Lonchura striata: one gene and its partners. The protein of the gene in region 2 binds, or shares a complex with, the protein of the main gene of each other region. Links are inferred from orthologs where the notes say so. Each region holds a gene or a part of one and is shown on either strand. Other genes may lie near its edges. The genes, in order: CDC45, GINS4 and GINS2.

Region 1 (7,895 bases), on a different chromosome or scaffold from region 2:
AACAAACCTCTTCAAAACGTCTGCGCTTCTCATGGGGTTCTGAGCCATCACTTTCATTCTCTGAGTCCTCTTCCTCCTCCTCCTCATCTCTGAAGATGTCATCATAAGCAGGAATATCGAGATCATCATCTTGCTTGACTAACAGCTTAATCTAGCAAGGAGAAAACTGTATTTTAGAGTAAGTATCTTATTTAGTGAGCAAAATGCAATCTTACTTAGAAAAGAAACCAAAAATTCATTTAGGCTGTATTAATTCCTGGCATAACAAAACTTTGGTTTTTAATGCAACTCCCGTACTGATTTATAGAAAATAAGAGTAAAAATCTATATTCCATTATTAGAGCATTACTGAAAAAATTATCATTTTAATGCTTGTTAAAATAAAATAATTTATGCTTAATACTTAAAATTCTAGGTGCTGCCAGATGCTGAGAAATAATACACGTTACATTCTGGAGGGATGTTTATCCTCTGATTTATGGCAGTTTGATTTATAGCAACAACATTAACAGGTGCTTACTACTGACAACTACCACATTGCTAACTTTAGACATTTCACTAGTGGAAAAATGATTTTTTTTCTGGTCATGTACATTACTACTGCAAATATTTATTTATTAATGCTGCTTTCTGACCTACAAGCTAATTTCTAACCAGTTTTGCAAGCACAGAAAAGCACTACACTGCTCACCACCACACTGTGGGGAGGCTTTTATTATGGAAGCAAAGTTTTACCTGGGTGTCATTGTAAACATTCACTACATTGATCGGTCTGTGACTGTCACATACAAAAAAAAAAGTGTCTTCTTCAGGCTGCAAGATTTCCAGGAGGTCTACATTAGCACCACAATTAATAAGAACAAAGTATTTGAACTGCAAACAAAAGCAGAAAAAGAAAAGAAGCTCATTACTTAAATTGCCAGAAAACATGGAAAACTGAAAATATGCTTACAAAACCCACAGAGCACTCATCATTGCCAAAACTTCTGTTTATTTTCTAATATTTGATGCCTCTGAGGCAGATTTTTTTTTAAAGCAAAACACAAAAACCTGCACCTTTTTATCTCAAAATGTGTGCAAACTCCATTTGACTCTATCAACACTACAGCACATTTGTGATGTTAAAAACTTGACAAGTTTATTGTTGGTATGTTAAAATGTAACGAGCTTTAAGAAACCATAACAATAATAACAATAAGTTAAGGGTTGACATTCTAAATTGGGAAAGGAAAGCAGTTTATCTTTACAAAAGATGAGCTACAGCCCAAAAATTTTCCAGTATTTTTTCACCTGATCTTTATGCTCCAGAAAGGCAGTTTCAAGCTCTTGCCACCCAGCCACTGGCACGAGTGTGTATTGCACGTGGTCACACTGAAACAAAGCCTGCAAGGAAGCAACAGCTGTGAGCAGAGGGGAGGGGAAACAGCCTCTCTTACAATGCTACACCAGGCTGAGTCTATTCTATACAAACCCTTAAAATAAAACCACCCCAAATGACAAATCTATATGAGCTCTGAGATTATGACTCCCCAGTTTTCAGTGCCATAACTCATGGAAACCAATGTTACAAAAGCAGATTAAAGCTTCCCCCTCTCCTTAGTTCACACCCATGTATAGGATCCTAGGGCATACATATTTTCTCATACTGTCAGCTTGCAGTGATAATGAACCAAGACTTACTTGGAGTATTTTACAAGCACATAATGCATCAACATCTGAAGCAACAAGAAGAAGAACACGCTGTAAAAATAACAAAATAATAGTATGAATAGGTGCCAAATAGACCATGCTGGTACATGAAATCCATGGAACACTGAGACACCAGAAATTCAGATAGAAATCATCACAAGCATAAAACAAGATTGCTTCTGAATGGACCTGCAACCAAAATTTGGATATCTGTCAATATTAAAAACAAGCAACTCCACCTATACCCAAAATGTGTCAGCTCCTTTAGGGATAGGTAATTACTGTTTCCTCTGGACCTCACATACTTCCACAGTTTCACACCTAGTCAAGCCCTACAATTATTTTCATAGTGTTTAGAATGGCCTTCGTTTTCAGCAGATTTGCAACAGTTTTAACTAAAAAAATCTGTAGCAAAAGCAAGGCAACTAGGGAAATAAATTCATTTAAATCAAGGTTGGCTGGTATTTTTTTGGGGGCGGCAGGGAGAGGGTTGGTTGGTTGGTTTTTTGTTTGTTTTGTGAGAGTGTTGTTTTAGGTCTTCAGGGAAGAGTGTTTTGACGTTTTGCTCAGCTGGAGAAATTAAGACAAATGCTTTCATTTGCACAGTCCATAATATCATTTCCTTGGTAGAAATGTTAAAAGACTGTCCAATAAAAGCTTCACCACCTTACCACAGTGAAAGGAGTTAACCAAGCCCTGCAAAAATACAAGCAGCAAACAAATGTGCTACAAGATTGCAGGAAAAACATTAAAGATAACAGAAAACAGTATTTAGTGTCTGGGCAAATAACATCAAAATGGTTATAAAGATATTTTTTTAAATGGTTCAGCGATGTCATGGTTAAGCCTGAGATCCAGAGCACACAAGAACACTTTTGCGGAAGGAGGCGAACCCTGAGTGAAATCCCCGGCAAAACCTCATCACGCTGACGCTGCTTTGTCCAGGGTTCCCAAGGTAGGGAAGGGGAAAACACCCGGGAAAGGGATTTTAACCACCCGGCTGACAGCCGGACCCGCCGCCCTCAGCGCGGCCGCCCGGCCGGTGCTCCCCGCCACCGACCCCCGCTCTGCGGCCCCAGAGCGAGACCACCGCCGCCCCGGAGCACCGCAGCGCCTCAGTCACCGCGGGCACCGACCCTGCGCCGTGAGGCGGCCAGAACACAGAGCGGGGAGAGCCCCAGGGGAGGCGGCCCCGCCCGCCGCCGGGGCGCCCCGGGAGCCACTCCGGCCCGGTCCCGGCGCGCTGCCCGCACCTGGGTGGCGATCAGGTCGTAGAACTCGCGGCGGCAGTCGGAGACGAACATGGCGGGAACGGGAGCGCGGCGGGAACGGGCGGCAGCCGCGGGCCGCGCCGCTCAAACTGAGCGCCAAACCAGCGCCGCCTCTCATTGGTCCGCGCCTCACGCAGCGCTGGCCAATAGGAACGCGCCCACCCCGCCTCTGCAGAGCGAGATGCCAAGTCCTTTCCTGGGCCTCGCCAATGGAATGCGGAGAATGCGGTGACGATACTCGCTGCTGACCAATCCCAAGAGGGCCTTGGCCGGAAGCACCCTGGCCTGGTCTTGTCGCTGTGTCCGCCATCTTTTCTGAGGGCAAGTTGTAAGCTTTGCCATTAAAGGGAGCTCGGAGAAGGGGCAGCAGGGCCGCATCAACACCCAGTGACCGAAGAGAAGCCTAGCGAGCAGAAGAGACTCCTGACGATGATCGCGTCGGAGGGCGCGAGGGCCCATCTTCCGCCCTCACCCGCAATGGCCGCCCGAGTGGGCGGCGCCGCGCGGCACGCTGGGAGGGGCGGGGCCTGGGTGGGGCCCGGCACGGCCCGTGAGGGGAACGAGCGGCGCTGGCCCGGCCCGGCCCGGCCCGGCGGCCCCGAGGGAGCGCCCGCCGCCGCCGCCGCCATGGTGAGAGCGGGGGGCGGCCGGGAGGGGCCGCGTCACGGCGGCGACACTGCAGGAGCCCTCAGTGGGTGCTGTGTCGCTTTGTGTGCTCTAGATACTGATGATTGCGTTCTTCTCTGTGTGTTGTTTTTCCCCCTCTAGTTCTCTTTTAATATGTTTGACCACCCCATTCCCCGGGTGTTCCAGAACCGTTTTTCAACCCAGTACCGCTGCTTCTCGGTATCCATGCTTGCCGGACCTAATGACAGGTCAGATGTGGAGAAAGGCGGGAAGAGTATGTGCATGTTTTATTTTGACTAATAAACTGTTAGAAGAGTGTTTTTGAATAGTTTCAAGTCTTGCAGCTTTTGGCCAAGGCAGCAGGAATATTGAAAACACGGTGACAGAGTGCTGAGCACCCTGGGCTGGGTTTGAGGAAGGAGGAGGGGTCATGTGCCATGCATTACTCGGTAACTAAAAATGATTACCGACTCGGGGTTTATGAGTATCAGAAGGAACAGACTTCATCTACAAAATTTCTTCTTAAAATCTTGTATCTAGTGTGAGCCATGGAAGTTTATGATTGAGGAGTTTCTCCCCTGCACCATGTTGTGCTTTTTAATTTGTATAAAGAAAGTCACTTAGTTTTCAAGGTGTCAGACTAATGCTATGTTGTTTTGAGTTGGGAGCCCTAACGAATAAAATTAGCTTTGGGAAAGTAATTCTTTAATAATAATATTGTAAAACCTTGTCTTCTCTTTTGTTTTTTCCCTGATTGTAATTCTGAAATATCCACATTGCAGGGATATTTGTCATGACTCATTCTACTGAACTCTCTGTCTAAAAAATAAATTTGAAGATTGTAGAATCTGCCCTTTTTTTAAAAGAGATTTTAGAGAAAGGAAGGATAAAATTGTGTGTTATGTACTCTTATACAGATGTACTTTTCCTAATTTCACATTCTTATTCATTTCTGCAGTAATTATGCCACCATCAGCTTTGGATCAACTCAGTAAGTGAATGCATTATTCTGGAATAACAATATTAGAAATAGGAGCAAATGTGTAGGCAAATACCACAGTATTTTACTTATTTATTTAAGTCTTAAATCAGTACTGTGAGAATAATTAGTTTAAGAAATGTATTTTAAAGGTATTTTTTCTGTCAGAATTCATGGGGCTTTTCTGCCTTCAAGCACAGACATATGAAATATTGGCCTCCCTGAGCATTTAAAGTTCTGAGTGCCGTGCCAACACTGGAGTTGTACATCTGCTTTCTCTGGTATTTTGAGCAGTTGGGATATTGGTGCGAGGGGCCCATTCTCTTGGTGATTGATCTCTGAAAGCTTCAGAGCTTTCAGAGGGGCTTTTAACAAAGCAAACTTTTTTCTCCTTTCTTACTAGGCCGCCTTAATATTACTTACCCCATGCTGTTCAAGCTGACCAACAAGAACTCAGACAGAATGACTCACTGTGGAGTGCTTGAGTTTGTGGCTGACGAGGGCATCTGTTACCTTCCACACTGGGTGAGCTGCCTCATGCTGGACTGTCAGAACCTGAAAAGTAGGATTAGGGAGTTGCCAGGCTTAATATTAAGGATGTGAATGTTTCCTGACAGTGCCTGTCTCTGCTGGTTGTGTTCCTACAACAGCCTTCAGTTCTGGCTCAGGCTTCCTTCTGCAGAAGTTTAACTTAGCAAAGCAGACTGCTTTTAACGTTCACCTGACTGTTTTTCCTGAAATTGAATATACACAAGAGCTGATATACACAGGAGAGAGATTTGAAAATATCAGACACGTTGATAGGGCTGTGTGTGTTTGTCTCCATTCTTGCAGATGATGCAGAATTTGCTGCTGGAAGAAGGAGGCCTGGTGCAAGTGGAGAGTGTGAATCTGCAAGTTGCTACTTACTCAAAATTTCAGCCACAAAGTCCAGATTTTCTTGACATCACCAATCCCAAAGCTGTGTATCCTTCCTATTAAATTATGGAATAAAGGAGAAAAAATTTGCTTCCAAATTGGAATGATGAAACAGAGCGAGCTTGTCTTACGTGGCTCATACACTTCCAGTAGTACATGGCCACTGCTGCCCCTTCTGAAAACAAAAGGGATGCAGAGCTGATGTACAGAGATGTGGTCAACTGTTGGAACAAAGTGTGGTCTGAAGAAGGAGGAGTGTTGGCTTAAAATCTAATGAGTTTTGAGTCCCCCTTTGAAGAATTTATATATCCTAAAATCCTATATGCACTGATGGCTTTTAAACCATGTTTGAGAAACTAAGGATTAGTGATCTACAGTATGGTGATTTTAAGGCTTTGATATTTCACTGAAAATAAATATTTCATCTTAACATACTGCAAAGACTGGAAAATGCATTGAGGAACTTCGCCTGTCTAACTACTGGGGATGTGATTGCCATCAACTACAATGAAAAGGTACAGTGTAAGGTTGAGGGTTGTAGACTACTATTAGTGTTGGATGTTGGTATTAAAACAATCAACTCAGAGCTATGCAGTGTTTTGGACAAGTAATCCCACGTGGCAGATTTCACAGTTGGCTTTCTGTTGGAGGGAAAAAGGAGTCAGCTAAGTCTTTTTCTGAGCTGCTGTTTAAATTTCTTTGGACTCACAAGAAAATAAATGTTTGTGCTGTTGAAGTTTTCACAAGTGAAGGGAAAGAATTTATCCTAAATTCAGAATTTGTTTTCAAAAATGGAGGTTAAAGTACAGTAAGAGTGCAGCAAGGTGCAGTAATGGGTTCTCTGGCTTCTAAAAACTTTTGCTTTTAAATTCTGTAGAGACCCTGCAATATTTATTCTTATCAACCTAAAGAGTACTTACTTCAGGTCTGGAGGGGAAGGTTTAGATATGCTTTCCTTACACATAATGCAATCTTGAAATATCTATGACTGTTTCAGATCTATGAGCTTCGGGTAATGGAGACCAAACCAGATAAGGCTGTGTCCATCATAGAGTGTGATATGAATGTAAGTTAAAGCTGATGGGGAAGGCCTGCCTTAACTGTCCTCCCAAGAGGGGAAGGCAGTGATAGCTCTGCACACCCAGCCCAGCTGATGCTGCAAGAAAGGTGCAATCCATGGGGTGGGGAAGATGACTCACTTGGGAGTACTCATGTGCCTTTGTAACCCCTTCTGTGATCCCGATTAGTACTTCATGCACCATCAGGTGACTACCATGCCTAGAATTTAATGTTTAACTTTGGCATGTTTTATCTGAGTTTTATTTAATAGCCTTGTCTTGACTCACACTCCAGTGATATTGTGGAGCTGTTTTACTGCTTTGTTTCCATTACATGCTAAGGTTAATTCCTAGTAGGCTTGGTCTTTTTTTAGTTCTGAGTTAAAATGTTTAACAACCAAACCTTAGTTCTTTTTAGCTCAAACGCAGTGGTAATAGTTCATGAAGTTTTGAGGAATAGTAGTATAAAGCTTATGATTTAATGAAAAATATTAATAATGGGTTTTTTCATGCTTCTTGTGTAAATAGGTGGATTTTGATGCTCCTTTGGGATACAAAGAACCAGAAAGAAGTGCACAACATGAAGAGACCGCAGTATGTTAAACTTTTGTTCTTCCAAAATGCATCCCCTAGAAGTCACTGTTGACTGTGGGGGAAGTGCCAACATAATTTTTTTTTTTTTATTTAAACAAGTTCTGTAGAGTAAATTTTACTTGCCAGAAGCCTTTGCATGTGTTACTTAGGGGACTGGTGTTTACCAACTGTTGTTTTAAGAAAGTGTCTTGGTTTGACAAGTGATTGTTCTGAAGTTTTGTTTGGCCAGAAATACTTGGAACAGTTTTCATGGCATGTGCATGTCAGAACACAAACAACATGAACTTGTTTTTCCCCTCACAGGATGTGGAAGCAGACCACAGTGGGTATGTGAGCGATATAGGATTTCGTGTAAGTGCCCTGTTTCTGCTGGTTTCTGAATCCTGTAAAATGGTGAGGGAAAGTTGTTCTGAACAACTGCAAAATATCAGTACCTGTTCTTATAGATGCTTGTTATTTAACTGGTAAGTGCCTGTGAATGTTTTGTGTCATCACAGCCAGGAGCAGCATGAATTGTTCTCTGCAAAGGGCAGATGAGAGGTTGAAACAGACTCCTACACCCATGATTCATCAGCTTATATGTACCAAAAAGAATCATGCTGAGTTAAATAACTAAATAAAAATTGCTGTAAGATTTTACAGATATAATGTCCTTGTGAAGTGTGCTTTCAAATGCCAGGAGTTCAATTAAAACTGATTATGTATCCACAGGCATTCTCTGGATCTGGGAACAGATTGGATGGCAAGAAGAAAGGTGTG
Region 2 (7,576 bases):
CAAAAATGAACTGCGTGTCCCACTTCCCTTAGCAGTGGCTTCTGCAGAAGGGAGTCTGACAGTGTCTATTCTCAAAAATGCAACCTGAAGCTGCACCAGAACCCATCACCCTCTGCATGGAGGGTATTCAGATGACACACAGCAGAAACTACTTTTTCCTGAGCCAAGACCACAGTTGTTCCATTTTAGTGATGCCACCGGCCACTGCTCTTAAACAAAGCATCCCAGAAGCTACACACTGAAGCTTTCCCGACACTGCCCTGTGACACAGCCTGCTCTCACACAGGAATGCCAGAGGAAGGACTCTATGGCTGTATGCTGGCCATGTCACAAGCAATCAGGAACTGGATGAGCTGTGGGGGTAATGAATGCCTCTGCAGTACAACACTGTGGTGCTCACCTGCAGTGCCACTGTGCTCTGCCTGCCATGGCAGTGGGGCCCTGGCCCTAGGAGGGGACCCAGCCCCAGAGGGGATCTGGCCCAGTCAGCCCCACTGGGAGCTCCTGCCAGCCCACTGTGGGGTGGGCAGGGAGATGGCGTGGTAGCTGCTCCTCCCACCACACACTTACCTCTCCCCTAGATGAGCTGCACGGCTCCTGAGGCCACCAGAGGGGCCACGGTCCTGTAGCGGATCAGGTGCTGCGAGCCCTCCTCCAGGTTGATGGCATATTCCCTGCAGAGACAGGGGGAACGTGAGCTGCAGCACACGCCCATCAGTGACACTGACTGACACCTGTGCCATGTGCAGAAATGCCCACCTACCTCTGCTCATCAGTCTCTGGCTCCACTAGTATGTTCTCCTGCCGCTCCAGCACCCTCAGAAACACAAAGGAGTCCAGGTTGGGCTTTGGAACTGCAGACAACAGATTGAGAGCACATGCTCAGCCCCCACTTATGTTCCTCTGCAGAACACTGAGGGGTCTGACATGTAACAAACTTATAGCCAGCAAAGGGAACACCAGACTCTTCTAACCAGATGTGTGTGCTCAGCCTCAGTGCAAGACAGGACTTGACAGCAGGGGCCAGCACAATCCCCTGGCAGAAGCATGGAACCATGTTACAACATCACCTTTGCTTCAACTGAGCAGCAAGCAGAGGACTAGCCCTCACATTTGGGGCTCCCTGGAGCTTCCCCCACACTCCTGCCTGGTTCTACAATTTCCAGATTACCCTGGAGTCTGGAGAGACTCACCTGACTTTAGGAGAGACACTTTCTGCAGGTTAGGTGGCATGTGCTTTAGGGCCACATTTTTCAGGTAAGCCTCTGTGTTTGCCATATACCTGAAACAAACCATTGAAGTATTGAGTTGGTTAATCAAATACAAATCTGCAGGGAGAGTATTGACTCAAAACAAGAATGACAGCTCCTCATCCCATGGGCACAGCCAAAGACAGGCCCCTGACAGACCCTGGTAACTGACTCAAAGTTACCAGAGTTATTTTCAGTTCCTTTCTTGCCCACAAAGAAATCTCCTGGTAAGACACACTGATTCTTACTTCAAACCTATCCAAGGCTCACAGTCTCAAGAACGTCATCAAAACACAAAAGTAAGTTTCTATAATCTATAAAAGGGGAGGAAGATACATTGAAAACCTACTCACTCTTTAGCAAAAGCAAACTCCTCTGGTGATAAAATGGAAGGCTCCCCTTCAGCTCGAGACTTCTCCTTCTCCAGGATGTGGGGAAAAAACTTCTCTATCTAATATTGAAACACAATCCAAAAGAATGATACAGATCTCTCCCACGAGTTCAGTGTTTAAAGCCCCGCTCTCCACTGTAGGAGCAGCAGCAGGCCTGCCCAAATCCCTGCTCCTGAGGTAACTGGGACATCACATGGGATCACCAAGCTATACAACCATGTGTGCACACAGCAGGACTCGGGCAGAATGGGACAGCATTCAGCTGTGCCACCCCAGGCTTAGATGAACCAAGCAGCACTCACAATATTGTGATCAACACTGCTGTGACCTCCTTCATTACAATACGAAAGTGTGCCCAAGAAATTAATATGAGTTGCATTTCAGAGAACAGAGAGAGAACATGCTTTAATTAAATGCTGTGCTGAGGCAGGAAGCCCCGTGTAGGCAAAAAACCCTCTTGAAATTACCTTTTTTACCCTCTGGGCTGCGCAATAAGCATTACCTTCACCAGTCGACACCGCAGGTAGCTGCTGAGCACGTAACGTATCCTCTCGATCTCCATGTGATGAACACTGACCTTCAGGTCTCCTCTCTTCACCCGTTTCAGGTTTGCTTCCTACAAGAAAAAGCAACGAGAAATTATATAGTTGAAACGTCAAACAAGACAAAAGAGAGGAAGCCACGTTTTGTATATAGAACCCACAAAACCAGACTATGGCTGCTTTTGATAACCCAAAACATGCTGCCTCCTCGTACTTTAGCCCTTTGCAAGGCAAGCTCAAAGAAGAAACTCGGAGAAGATCTGCCTCGGAGCCAGGGAAGCCCGGCACTCTCAAAGAGAGTCAGGCATGTTCGTGCCAAGCCAGGCAACCAGGGCCTGCCCGCACCACCCGAGCCCCAGAACCCACCATATGGTCCAGCTGCTCCACCACGCACTCGATGATTTCAGGTTTACTCTCCAGCAGTTCTGGAGCAAACTTCTCATTCAGCCAGGCCTGAAAGAAGGCACGCTGTCAGTGAAAGCGAGCAAAACCTCAGCTGCACTCCCGCAGCGAGAGGAGCAAACACGGCCACGGCCCCGCCGCTCGGCATCTGCTCCAGCGCGCCCGGCAACCCCCGCTTTCCCCCGGCCCGAGCCCGTCGCGCTAGCCCGGGGACCTGCTCCAGGCTGTGGATCAGCTGTGCCGGGGTCAGCACCAGCTCCTCACTGTCGCCGTCCGAGTCGCCGCCGGCCGCTGCCGCCATCGCTCCCGCCATCGCTCCGCCGGTCCGCCCACGGCGCATGCGCGCCGCCCGGGCCCACGCATGGGGAATCACGCTGCGGCCGCCGCGCCTCCGGCCAATCGGGAGGCGGATTGAAACAGCAATCTTCTTTGGCCAATCAAGATGCAGATTGAATGTGCTGCTTCTGCGGCCAACCACGAGGCGGAAGCGGAGCTTTTTCGACCAATCACGATGCGTCTCCTGGCTTCGAGCTTTTTCGACCAATCAGGAAGCGGATGCAGCTTTTTTGGAAGTCAGGCTTTAGATCAGGCTGGAGGGGCTTCCACCAATCAGAGAGCAGCGTCAAGCTGCAACTTCTGGGCCAATGAATAGCCGGAGAGACGTTTCAGCTGTTCCAGCCAATTAGCGCTCAGCTGCAGCCATTCCAGCCGATCAGAGATCAGCTACAACTGTTCCAGCCAATCAGGCCTCAGGGGGTTTGGCAGCCCCGGCCCCAAAGCCCGGGCCCCGGCGGCTACCGGCCCGCCTGCGGGTGGAGCCCCGGGCCCGGACACGGCCCTGGCGGCCACTGCCCCGGTTGCGGGCGGAGCCCCGGGCCCGGACACGGCCCCAGCGGCCACTGCCCCGGTTGCGGGCGGAGCCCCGGGCCCGGACACGGCCCATCCCCGCAGCGCTGCAGCTCTGGCCGCTCCCAGCCCCGCGCTCCGCCACACTGTGCCCCTCGCCACTGAACACACCTGGACACAGTTTAAGAAAAGGTTTACTGATCCATCAGTACTTCTGCCAATATTGCAACAGCTGTGAAAGGCAAACACTGTTACAGTTTAGAAAAAACAAATTTATACAATGAAAATATTCATCAAATCTCAACTCCCCAGTGGCTGAGGAATGAGCCTGGAGTTCCATATCCAGTATTAGCACCTGCAGCACCACCAACAACCAACCCAGCCCCACCACTCCTGCTAAGTGTCTCTTCTGAACTCCTGAGTTCCTTCCACAACTGGACACTGACACTCGGCCCTACACCAAGACACCTGGGCTTTGACACAGGAAAAGGATGTGAGAGAAAGGATTCAGCTTGGACTGTGCAGGTACTGCTGAGCAATGCACGGGGACGCTAAGGAATGCACAGCTCAACTCCTCAATGTGTGCCAGAGACAGAATTAAGAAATCCATCTTACACAGTATCTTACAGTTCATCAAATCAATGTTTTCCTATAAACTATATATAAGGAATCCATCAAGAAACAGTTTTACACTTCACATATTAATCAGAGAAGGGTGGGAATCATTATTTTTATTGGCTCAGCATCCACTTTACTGTGCTTGCTGTTTCATCACTGACCAGGCCCCTCTTGGTGAGCACTGATGGGGCCAACACCACCACAGACACAGGGGCAGAAAAACCACCAGGGCTAAAGTCTGGCTACAACCCCCTCCCCCCAGGGATAACCAAGACCTTAACTCAAGGAGCACTCTGCCTTTTGGTTTTCCACAAGGATCAGCACAAGAGACGTTGCCTTGAGTCACTCCTCACTGGGAAGAGGCACTGTGTATCTCTGCACTCCTACACTGAACTGGAGGGAAATTCCTAATTTTGAGCTGGAGCTTTCCAAAGCCCAACTGATACATAGAAGGGTTTAAGAACCAGGGATGAACAGCACTGTACTTACAGGACTAAAACTAAACCTCTGTTGGGCTGAGAGCCCATTTCTTTCAGAAGAGAACACAGCTTTACCACTCTGCCTTTTCTTGAGAAAAAAAAAAAAAAAACAAAAAACTAAAAAGTGATCCTGTTGCTTCCAAATCTACTGCAAAGTGGATGCTGACCAGCTAGGTCACCCCCTGGGGAGCAGTTTGAGGAAGTTAGTCCTTGTAGTAGATGGCACTGTGGATCTGGCAGCAGAGAAAGGAATGATGCTCTAAAGTAGGAGGTAGGGGAACCTTGGTACAGCAAGTCCACCGATGAGCTGTCATCTAGAAAAGAAGTTTCATAGGGTTAGAAACTCCTAACTCAAACCAAAAGCTACCCTACACAAACCTTTCTACAGGTGCAGCAAGAATGTGGCAAGAGTTACCATGTGTTGTGGTGAGCAGAATCCAGAACTCATTTCATTTGTCCAAACAAAAAATAAAGACCTTTACTATTTGTTTCTTTTTGCAAAACAGGCATAAATGTTTCCCATTCTTTTCTGTATATACTGCTAACAATCTGAATGTAACACTCCCATCCCAATACCTGCAGAGCACCCAGCACAAGGGAACCAGTGCCAATGCCAGCTGTCCAAAAGCAAAGTCACAGAAAGCAATTTTCGTGGTCTGCACTGGATATTTGTGACTCGCCCCACAGCACCAAGAGAACTGAGAGCTCTCAGCAGAGCTTTTCAAGGCTGCTGGGCCCTCCTACCGCAAAGCATCACAAGTAAAGACATCAGCATGGTAACCAGAACAGCAGCCAGCTAAAAAACTGCAGCAAAAAGGCTCTGTATGCTAAAGTACACTCAGGGACAGAGTCCATTTTTTACTGACCCGAGAAGAATTTTGGACATAATACAGTACAAGTTAGCATATTTACACAATCAAGACTCCAATTTCTTCAACCCAGTACTGATATTTTTACTTCTAAGAAGAGCTGGTCCACACAGGCTTTATGTGAACAGTCTTTGATAACTACAAGGGTGGGATAAACTCCCAGCATGACAGCACCCAATCCTCTGAGCACAAAAAGATGTTGAGATTGATCTGAGATACAGGTAACATGTACCTAAAACTCCACAGTTTTATCTTCCACTGGTCAAACCTCTGTCTTCATAAATGGTAATTTCAATCTGCACAGAAAAGCTGTTAAGGAAATACACTATAAAGAGACTATGAAAACATACCCGGAAAAAGGCAGAAAAACATTAAGATGATGGGACTTTGATATCTGAGCTGTTTAAAGGCAGGTCCCAGAGCTCCAAAGCAAAAGGAACAGCCTATGTGAGATGCCTCATCAGGTAAGAGCACGGGCTCCCAGCCCAGGGCCTGCGCAGGAACTCATGGGGAAGGCTGTGCGCCGAGCAAAAAAAGTTAATACTGCTAATAAGTCACCTACCAAACTGAAAATGCTTTTACTCAAATTGAATGTTGGTTGTTTTTTTTTTCTTTCCAGAAGGTGTATACACAATGGAAAAACACACTGAGAAAAAAGAAGTCATGTAGGTGACAGCTCTGAGCTACATGGACAAGGACACAGAAAACCCAACTTCAACGAATTAGCCTCATCATACATTCAATTGGCATTGGGTTTCAAGTTACTGTGGTTTCAAGATTTTCAAAGAAAGCTGTGTTACTCATTATACTTCCCCATTTGCTATGAGAGGTCTTTACAACTTCAGGCAATAACCACACAAAATGTCTTCAGTGTGGCTCAACGGCTGAAGAAAAAGGGTTGAAATAAGCCATACTGGAAGCAAGAGCAAGTGCCAGGCTTGCAGTGATGTTGTATGTCAAGATCTTCACCAAAACCTCAGCTGAGGGTTGCACATTAAGTAAATTGATGTTATCACATCCATTTCTGTCCTACCAACATGGTCACTTCTTTCCCCAGTCAGAAAAACAGCATTTCTGGACATTACTGGAATAGAGGCAGGATCCTGAGCGCTCTTTCCAGGCAGGCACAAAGGTTGGGTTCCACATCTTTATGGGCTTTGCACGCACCAAACCTTAACATACTAAAACCTGACTAGGGACCAGGACACAACAAAAAGCAACAAGATTAATCACCCATTCTGTATCACAGATCGAGCATGAGCAGAGGTGCCTCACTGAGACAAACGAGGAGCACAAGGCAGGAGACAATGTCAGAAACCAGAGAAGGATACAACTCTTAATCCTCTTTCAATGGGGTCTGTCAGCAGAAGGCCCTGAGGAGCATAGATCTTCTCATTCTGTTCCTGAATGAACTTAGCAATTTTCTTTAGAACCTGGCAATGAAACAGCACAGAAGTCACAACTGTTTCCTTTCAAACAGTATCACAGCTACGGCAAGGTGAGAACTGACACACAACTGCTCTGATGGCTCGACAGTGCAGGCACTTGCCTGGATTCAGGGTGCCCCCCATGGGACCCAAAGTGACCAGTACCAGCACGCCTGAGTTACATCCATACAGCATCTGCACCAGAACATTGCAAGTCACAGGAAACCCACCAGGACCCAAGTTCTTGCCTGCAGGATGAAAGGGAAACAAGCATTTACCTTTTCATAGTGTGTCTCCATGCACAGGAAGATGGTGTAGGCAGTCAGGCAGGCGAGACAGCCTTCCAGGTAAGATTGGCCCCCAAGTTTTTCAGCTTCTGCATAGAGGTTGTTCAGTGTCCGGACTGTCTCCTCAAACTGCTGCCTGTCAATCTGCAAGAAAAGCAAGTGGGGCTGTCAGGTGCACACTGCAGAACTCACCAGTAGCCTTGTACATCCACCTCCACTCAGGGATCATCTGCACTGCACTCAGAGCCGCAGCCTGGAGCACGCAGAGTTACACACCTGCAGCTCTTTGTCAGACACCTTCCTGTGCTCAGGCTGAGTCCGAGTCAAACACAACGTGGACACAAAACCATTCAGAGCAACACTCCTAAGCTAATGTGCAATTCAGCTGTGAAACAACCGGAATTCACACCCAGGGATGTGATGGGTTAAAATGAACAGGCGAGCGTGGAGGGACACTCCACACC
Region 3 (8,014 bases), on a different chromosome or scaffold from region 2:
GCCTTTTCCAGGCAGCCCATCCCTCATCCCCCAGCTCCCTGGCTCCCTCCCGGGCCGAGCTCCTGGCACACCTTGGCATGAGCCTCCTGCTGCCTCACGAAGCTGTCGGCGGACAGGCGCAGCTTGGCCACGCGTGTGTCCCACGTGTCCTTCACCAGCGTCCGGATCTCGTCCGCTCTGGGGATGTTGTCAGAGGCACTGGCACGGGGAAAGGGAAGGGAAAGGGTTCAGAGCAGGTGGCAGAGCCCAGCACATCCCTCCAGACCCTGGCAGGGGGCTCAGAGACCTTGGCACGAGGTCAAAAAACACCCCTGGCTTCGATTTTAGCCCGTGGAAAAAGCTGCGAACTCCACACGAGGAATTGCAAACCACAAGGGTCTGAGTGGTGTGATAGTTGAACTAACAAAGGGTGGAAAAGTAGAATTTTGGGCTTTTTAGAATGGGGTTCTGTGGCAAGCACATTTCTCTCCCTCTCAGAGCTGGAGTGCCCACCCTGCCAGGAGCCTCAAAAATCCAGAGCTGGAGTGCTCACCCTGCCAGGAGCCTCAAAAATCCAGAGCTGGAGTGCCCACCCTGCCAGGAGCCTCAAAAATCCAGAACTGGAGTGCCCACCCTGCCAGGAGCCTCAAAAATCCAGAACTGGAGTGCCCACCCTGCCAGGAGCCTCAAAAATCCAGAACTGGAGTGCCCACCCTGCCAGGAGCCTCAAAAATCCAGAACTGGAGTACCCACCCTGCTTAATCAAGGGCTTAAGAAGCCAGCAGAGCCCTGGCTGAGACAAACAGCAGCCAGCACGTTTTACAAGTGAGATGCCTGAGCAGGCAGGAGCTCAGGCTGGGAATCTCCCTGGCCTCCTGCTCCCCAGGCTGAGGGGAGAGGAGCTTTCCTCCTGAAGGAGAGCCAGGGAAGGAGGCTGGAGCCTGCAGATTGCAGCCCGGAATGTGCTGCGGCTCCTCCACACCGAGCTGTGCTCCCTAAAACTGCACAGCCCCGACAAGGAGGCCACGCAAGGAGCCACCCCAAGCTCCTGAGAGGCAGAGTTACCATCAGGGAAGTGCTGCTGAGAAATCTTGGCAAGGCTGAGGGATGAAACTCCCTCGACTCTCCCTTTTCCCCACCGCCCTGCGGGGCTGCTGCCAAGCAAAGCTTGAAAAATCCTCAGTGCTCGCAACCAAGTGGGGTGGAAAACGGCCCAGCTCAGCTCCTACTCACTAGTTCAGCAGCAGCTTGGTCAGCTCCATGTAGTAGGGACTGGGCATGGGAGTGAAGGTGTCCTCTTTCCTCTCCTGATCCCGGATTTCCTCCAGTTTCCCTAAAATGCAACCAGGGATGCTCGGATTTTGTGTGGTTTTTTCCCCCTCTCCCCAGGAAAAAGCCACGTTGTTTCTGTAGGATCAGCTCGGGAGGCACACAAGGGACATGGATGCCTCCAAGGATCCATCCATCCATCCAACCAAAATCCCTATCTCCTCACAGGGATTTTCCCAAGAATTAGTGCCAGGATGAGAGGAAACAGCCTCAGATTTAGCCAGGGGAGGTTCAGGTTGGACATCAGAAGGAATTCCTGGACTGAAAGGGTGGTTAAACACTGCAAGGGGCTGCCCAGGGAGCTTTGGAGTCCCATCCCTGGAGGTGGCACTCAGTGCACTGGGCTGGTGACAAGATGGGGACAAGCTGGACTTGGTGAGGTTGGAGATCTTTTCCAACCTAAAAAATTCTGAGATTCTGTGACCCAAAGTCCCTAAAGCTTCTTCTGAACAAGCCTCACCCCCCTGAGAGTAAAGAAAATCCCAGTGGTGGGACATGAGATCCATCTCTCCCAGCTGCCTTGTGCTTTTCAATTAAGCTCCCCACTAATGGTGAAAAACGGATTATTTTTAATTTCATGCTTCCACTGCACCCACTGAAGGCCAGAGCTGAAGGCAGAGCCTCCATCCTCACCAACATCCATCCATTCCGGGGGAATGAGCCGACACTTCTGCCTCTGCTTCAGATTAATGGCCAGCCACACGGGCACTTCCACTGGCAAGCCAGGGTTGAAGGGACCCAGATCTCCCTGGAAAACAAATTAAGGATGAGAGGCGGGCTCCAACCAGAGCTTGGACTGCACAGAGCCTGCCTGCTAATGTGGCCAGAGTTTCCAGAGGATTTGGAAAAGCCTGGGACAAACATCTGATCCTGCATTTCCTCCTCCCACTTCCCTGAATTCTTGCTCTCAGAAGCTCCCCCATCTCCCTGGAGAAGGAATAACCAAAGTTTCCTTTCATTCCAAGGGGTTTCACAGGAATTACAAATTCCACCTCCCTGGACATGCAGCTCCCAGAGGCTCCCCAGGTTCTGGCCAGCGCCCAGGACAGCCGGACACCCCCACCAGGGCTCGGGGGCTGCACAGACCCCCCGAGATGTGGGGGGACAGCACAGCCCCCTCCCCAACCTCCTGGGGGCTGCCCTGCCTCTCCTCCCAACCCCGTCCCCCCTCTGCCCGTCATTCCCCAATCCCTCCATCCCAAATCCATCCCAAATCCGTCTCCTCCCCAGCTTCCCAAACATCCCAGACCCACCCTAACCCCCCCAGCTCCCGCACCCCAATCCCAATCCCTCCAACCCCATTCCCCAGACCCAATCCCTGCCCCCAAGGCCCTCCCAGCCCCGGTCCCGTCCCAGCCCCGGTCCCTGCCCAGCCCCGGTCCCGTCCCAGTCCCGGTCCCCTCCCAGTCCCGGTCCCCTCCCAGCCCCGGCCCTGCCGACCCCGATCAGGTGAATCCGGTCCAGGCTGAAGTTGGGCACGATCGTCACCAGCTCCTTCTCGGCCAGGAACTCCACCTCGGCCGGCTCCATGGGCCCGGGGGGAGCCGAACCGGGATCAAACCGGGATCGCACCGGGACCGGACCGGGATCAAACCGGAACAGGACCGGGATGGAACCGGGATCGCACCGGAATGGAACCGGAATCCAGCCGGGATCAAACCGGGACCGGACCGGGATTGCACCGGGACCGGACCAAGATCGTACCGGGAGCGCACCGGGAGCGGACCGGGACCGGACCGGGATCGTACCCGGACCGCACCGGGAGCGCACCGGGAGCAGACCGGAACCGGACCGGGATCGTACCCGGAGCGCACCGGGAGCGGACCGGGACTGGACGGGGATCGTACCGGGATCGTACCGGGACGGAACCGGGCCCGCACCGGGCCCGAGCCGGGCCGCCCTCTCCCGCCCTCGCTCCCCATTGGCCGCCCAGCCCCAGGCCCCGCCCCCCGTTCCCCTTTCCCGCCTCCCGTCTCATTTTCGCGGTTTTCGGGGAAAGGCGGGGCCCGGCGCGGCGCGGCGCGCGCTGATTGGCTGTGTTGCCGTGGCGCACGCCTCTGTGATTGGCTGCTCTGCGCGCGGCGCGCTCTGGCCGCTGCCCCGCCGGGGGAAGTCCGGATGGGGGCACGGGGACCAATCGCGGCGCTCCCCGCGGGCGCTCGGCCAATCAGCGCGCGGCACTTGTTGCCGGGGCGCCGCGGGAGTGGCGGCGCCCGCGACTGCCGCCCCCTGGCGGCCGAGAGCGGCAGCGCCCCGCGGGAACGCGCGCGACCGCCGGGCCGGGATGGGTGAAAGGGACCGGGATGGGTGACAGGGACCGGAATGGGTGACAGGGACCGGGATGGGTGAAAGGGACCGGGATGGGTGACAGGGACCGGCATGGGTGACAGGGACCGGGATGGGTGAAAGGGACCGGGATGGGTGAAAGGGACCGGGATGGTTGACAGGGACCGGAATGGGTGACAGGGACCGGGATGGGTGAAAGGGACCGGGATGGGTGACAGGGACCGGCATGGGTGACAGGGACCGGGATGGGTGACAGGGACCGGAATGGGTGACAGGGACCGGGATGGGTGAAAGGGACCGGGATGGGTGACAGGGACCGGCATGGGTGACAGGGACTGGGCGTGGCTGTCCCTGGGTGGTGCTCAGGCCCCAGCATCTGCCCATCTGTCTGTCTGTTCAGTGGCCCCTGTTCAGACACCCATGCTCCGGCACCTGCCATCACTCACCTGTCCCTTTTCTCTGTTCCCCATCCATCCATCCATCCATCCATCCATCCATCCATCCATCCATCCATCCATCATCCATCCATCCATCATCCATCCATCCACCCATCATCCATCCATCTATCCATCATCCATCCATCCATCCATCCATCCATCCATCCATCCATCATCCATCCATCCATCCATCCGTCCATCCATCCATCCATCCATCCATCCATCCATCCATCCATCTATCCATCATCCGTCCATCCATCCATCCATCCATCCATCCATCCATCATCCATCCATCCATCATCCATCTATTCATCCATCTATCCATCCATCCATCCATCCATCCATCCATCCATCCATCCATCCTCCTCCCCACACCCAGCTCATCCCAGTGATTTCTGGATGATTTGGGGGGAGCTGTATCCCATTTGCAAGTCCCCATGGAACTTCCCCACACCAGACAAATCCACTTCACCCCAGTCCCTCTCCCAAACCACCTTGGGCTCAACCCTGGGATCACCCGTGGAGCAACCACCACCCTTGGGATGAGCGTTACCCCCACCCTGGGGTGGGAGCCAAGCCTTGGGGACCCCCAATCCCCGAGGAGGGTCCCCAAAGCAGCCCCCGGTGCCGCCGGCACGTGCTGGGCGCTCCGGGAACGTCTCCCCCACGCTGCACCTCCCCTGGCGTGTCTTTTGCCATCTGCTGCTGTCATTAAAAAATGAAATTTCCATCTGCTTTCACACTCCCGCCTCTCCCGCCGGCTCCGGTGCCGCCGCTCCCCGGGAAGCGTCGCCCCCGGCTCCCTCCCGGGATGCGGCCGATCCGGCGGGATGGGGGTGACGACGCCGAGTTCATTATCCCGCTGCTGTTTGCTGCAGTGGATCCTTCAATCCCTCGTGGAAAGCTGTGGAGCCCCACTTTTGCCCGCCCACGGGCACGGGGGTGACCCCGTGGGGGCGATGCTGCCGTGTTTCGGGGTGCACAACCCATCCCCCGTGTGCTGCCACAGCCGAACTGGGGGTGCGGGTTTTTATTCGCCGTGGGGGGAATAGCAAAAGGGACAAACCCCGGTCCCTGCTGTCCAAACCCACCCGCGTGGGTGCCCCGCGTGTCCCTGGCAGCTTCGTCCGGCCCGGCCGTGGCCTGGGGGCTCCATCCCGAGGAGAGGGGACAGCTCCTGCCGGGCTGGGGGTCCCCCCGTGTCCCCTCTCAGCACGGGCTGCAGGGCGAGGGGCTCTCCCCGCGCCGGCCCTCGCGGGACAGCGTGGTCCCCGTGGGCGTGGGAGGCGTGACGATGATGGAGGGCACGTGCAGGTGCTTCTGTCCCGCTGGGGTCCCCTCGCTGCCGTTCCCGCTGCTCACGCACATCTTCAAGCCTGGGGAAATTTGGGGGATAAAAGAAAGATCAGGCATCGGGTTCAGCATCCCCCCGGCTCCCTGCCCTCCTCGGTGTCAGCGCTTTACGAGCCACTGGAGAATCCACAGCATCCTCACATCTCCTCCCCTGCGTCCACCTTGGATTTTGGCGGGGTTTCAGAGGTGGATCCCACCCCTCCCTCGACCACCAGCCCAGCCCACCCGCCCTGAGGGGAGCAGATCGCTTTAATCTGCTTTTTTAATCAGGAGAAAAGCCCCGTGCGGCACAGGCTGCATCCAGGGAGGTTTCAGCTCTTCCCAAGCAAGAAAATGCCTGGAGGGGACAGACACTGATATTTTTAATCTCTTTTTAATTAAGGATAAAGCCCTGCCTTATGTAAGGGAGCTGGAAAAGGGGGAGGGTCTTTTCTTTTATTCCAGACTCCAAGCTCACCAGAGGGGTCTGGAAGCATGGGGGAATATTTTGGGGCTCTGTCCTGGATTTGGGGCAGGATTGGGATTCCTTGGCTGCTTGCTTCCCCTCTTCAACTCCCCCTTGTTGGACAGGGGGGGTTGTGAGACCCCAAATCCCCCCAGCCTCCCTGTTGTGGAGAGGGGGCAGAGCTCATTTTTGGCTGATGCATCCAGCTCTATGCCCATCACAGCCAGAATCCCAGAGAGTCTGGGCTTGGGAAAAGCCAGGGAAGAGGCGGCCCTGCATCCTGGAGAGGGATCCTCATTAAGCCCCATCCCTAACGACCCCGAGGATGATTAGCAGGAGTCAGAGGGATGCAGAGCTAATGGGAGATGCCATATCCAGCCTTCGCCCTGCCAGGCCAGCAGCACTAAAAGCTCCCACTTTGCCCCTGCGCAGACATCCCTGACGCCATTCCCGGCCTAAATCCATTAAGAAAATTCAAGTTGGGGAAGAAGCTCCTGGTTGGAGCATCCCTGGGGAGGGTGGAGCAGTGAGGGATGATTTGGGGCCAGCCTGGAGGCCGGGAGCTGGAACCCAAGCTCTGGGCTGACCCCTGCATGCCAGCCACGTGTCCCTGAGCAGCCCTTTCCTGCCTCCAAGGAAACCCCTGGATTCTCCAGATCAAAAGGTGCAGGGAAAATAAAGCAGGGAAAATAAAGCAGGGAAAAAATAAAGCAGGGAAAAAATAAAGCAGGGAAAATCCTCTTTGGGGCCATCCAGGCGCAACAGGTCGCCCGTGAGACGTCAGAAATTCCACCACACCAATTCCCACCCACACCAAAATCTCCTCTGGGAGCCACCATCCCCCAGGTGTCTCTGGGGAGCAGCAGCAGCCCGAAGGCCCATCCCAAACTGACCTTTCAGGCAGGAGAACTTGAGCCCCATGTTTTCATCCTCTCAGCGGGACGCGGCTCTCCAGCTCCGCCGCCGGCCCTGGCCGCTGGCGCTGGGGAGGAGAGGAGAGGCCTGAGGGGAGCGGTGCTGGGGGGGAGGAAGGAGAGGAGCCCAGAGCTCACATCTCTCCCTGCGAGCCTCCAGAGCCACAGGAAACGCGGCTGCTCGCTCGCAAAACCACCGGTGATGTCACGGCGCCTCAGCGACTCAACCTGGGCCCGCGAGCTCCAGGAAGAACTTTTTGGGAGGGTGGAGAAGGAACCTGCTGCTGGGTGAGCGGTCCCATCCCAGCTTCTCCGCTCCTGGGGTTTGGGCTGAAGATATTTCAGGATGAGGAGATTGGGAGCAGGAGGAACTGGGACGGGTTCTTGCAGAGAAAACCCCGAGTCCACGCACAGGAAACCGAGGGATGATCCCAGGGCTGCCTCCCTCGGGCTGAGCCGGAGCAGCTGCCGGGATGCACTGCTGGAATTCACATCACCCCGCTCCTCTTGGGCACCCCTGATGTCCCCAGAGTGTTTAGATGGATAATTCCCACTGTGGGACATCAGTTTTTTTCCAAGATGCTGACAATTTTTCTGCGGAAAAGCACCCCTTTATTGGGAAATCTTCACCCCTCCTCCCACAGCTGCTGGGAAAAGCTTCTTGGGATGAGGGTCAGTGACTCATTTGGCTCTTCCAAGCTCTGGGCCACACAGAGAGCCAAGGAAAGCCCCTGCTCCCCTGCCTGACCTCTGCCTTCACAGGAAGCCCTGAGGTGGGTCAGCAGCAGGCAGCAAGGGGAAGTGAAAATTTGCTATCTCTGCTTTTAATTCTGCATTTTTATCAGTTCCCCAGGTGCAGCCTGAGCTGTGACCCCCCCTCAGGGCTGGGGAGTGGAGTCCTGCCCAGGACCTCACTTTGCAGCTCTCCTGGAGGCTGCCCAAATGTCAGGAAATCTGTTTTGAGGCAAATCTGGTGGGTTTTGGCACCTGCTGGTGGCTCGCACACCAGCAGAGGAGGGTCATGCTGGGGACAGCCAGCTCTGTGCACAGGGGGTGTCCTCTGGGATTTGATCCTTTGGGATCTGATCCTCTGGGGTCTGATCCTCTGGGATTTGATCCTTTGGGATCTGATCCTGTGGGATTTGATCCTTTGGGATCTGATCATCTGGGATCTGATCCTCTGGGCTTTGATCCTCTGGGGTCTGATTCTCTGGGATCTGATCCTTTGGGATGTGATCCTCTGGGATCTCATCCTTTGGGATCTAATCCTC

Evidence for each region.
Region 1: GINS4 (region 2) and CDC45 share a complex: the UniProt entries of both Homo sapiens proteins name them as parts of the CMG helicase complex. The link is inferred for Lonchura striata from reciprocal best matches to the Homo sapiens genes GINS4 and CDC45.
Region 3: the proteins of GINS4 (region 2) and GINS2 are in contact, whole or in part, in a crystal structure (PDB 2E9X), measured with the Homo sapiens proteins. The link is inferred for Lonchura striata from reciprocal best matches to the Homo sapiens genes GINS4 and GINS2. Residues at the interface, in NP_115712.1 of Homo sapiens: Pro23, Ala24, Ile27, Glu28, Glu31, Trp34, Met35, Lys38, Phe39, Gln57, Met61, Leu73, Lys74, Ser76, Ile77, His78, Met80, Glu81, Arg84, Ile85, Tyr87, Val88, Ser91, Asp166, Asp168, Ser169, Tyr170, Val171, Phe172, Val184; in NP_057179.1 of Homo sapiens: Met1, Glu5, Phe8, Leu9, Glu11, Lys12, Phe21, Leu23, Asp24, Lys25, Ile26, Tyr27, Leu28, Ile29, Gly30, Trp47, Leu48, Asn51, Leu52, Arg55, Lys57, Phe135, Gln139, Glu140, Ala141, His142, Ala143, Lys144, Leu145, Asp146.

What each region holds. Positions count from the first base shown.
Region 1 is NC_134620.1:7,541,790-7,549,684, reverse strand, and holds the start of CDC45 (cell division control protein 45 homolog), read right to left. Parts: upstream 3,057-7,895; 5' UTR 2,994-3,056; coding exon 2,943-2,993; intron 1,741-2,942; coding exon 1,681-1,740; intron 1,384-1,680; coding exon 1,291-1,383; intron 874-1,290; coding exon 736-873; intron 152-735; coding exon 8-151; intron 1-7. Other genes in the region: UFD1 (ubiquitin recognition factor in ER-associated degradation protein 1), read left to right, coding at 3,588-3,590, 3,729-3,861, 4,546-4,578, 4,970-5,091, 5,401-5,531, 5,927-5,999, 6,482-6,550, 7,071-7,136 and 2 more. UniProt on the Homo sapiens protein: Required for initiation of chromosomal DNA replication. Core component of CDC45-MCM-GINS (CMG) helicase, the molecular machine that unwinds template DNA during replication, and around which the replisome is built.
Region 2 is NC_134634.1:4,771,194-4,778,769, reverse strand, and holds GINS4 (DNA replication complex GINS protein SLD5), read right to left. Parts: upstream 2,955-7,576; 5' UTR 2,927-2,954; coding exon 2,801-2,926; intron 2,638-2,800; coding exon 2,551-2,637; intron 2,259-2,550; coding exon 2,145-2,258; intron 1,702-2,144; coding exon 1,604-1,701; intron 1,283-1,603; coding exon 1,194-1,282; intron 855-1,193; coding exon 764-854; intron 675-763; coding exon 578-674; downstream 1-577. Other genes in the region: GOLGA7 (golgin subfamily A member 7), read right to left, coding at 5,647-5,694, 6,730-6,831, 7,104-7,256. UniProt on the Homo sapiens protein: Required for correct functioning of the GINS complex, a complex that plays an essential role in the initiation of DNA replication, and progression of DNA replication forks.
Region 3 is NC_134615.1:21,515,922-21,523,935, reverse strand, and holds the start of GINS2 (DNA replication complex GINS protein PSF2), read right to left. Parts: upstream 3,066-8,014; 5' UTR 2,839-3,065; coding exon 2,749-2,838; intron 2,057-2,748; coding exon 1,942-2,056; intron 1,313-1,941; coding exon 1,213-1,312; intron 199-1,212; coding exon 72-198; intron 1-71. UniProt on the Homo sapiens protein: Required for correct functioning of the GINS complex, a complex that plays an essential role in the initiation of DNA replication, and progression of DNA replication forks.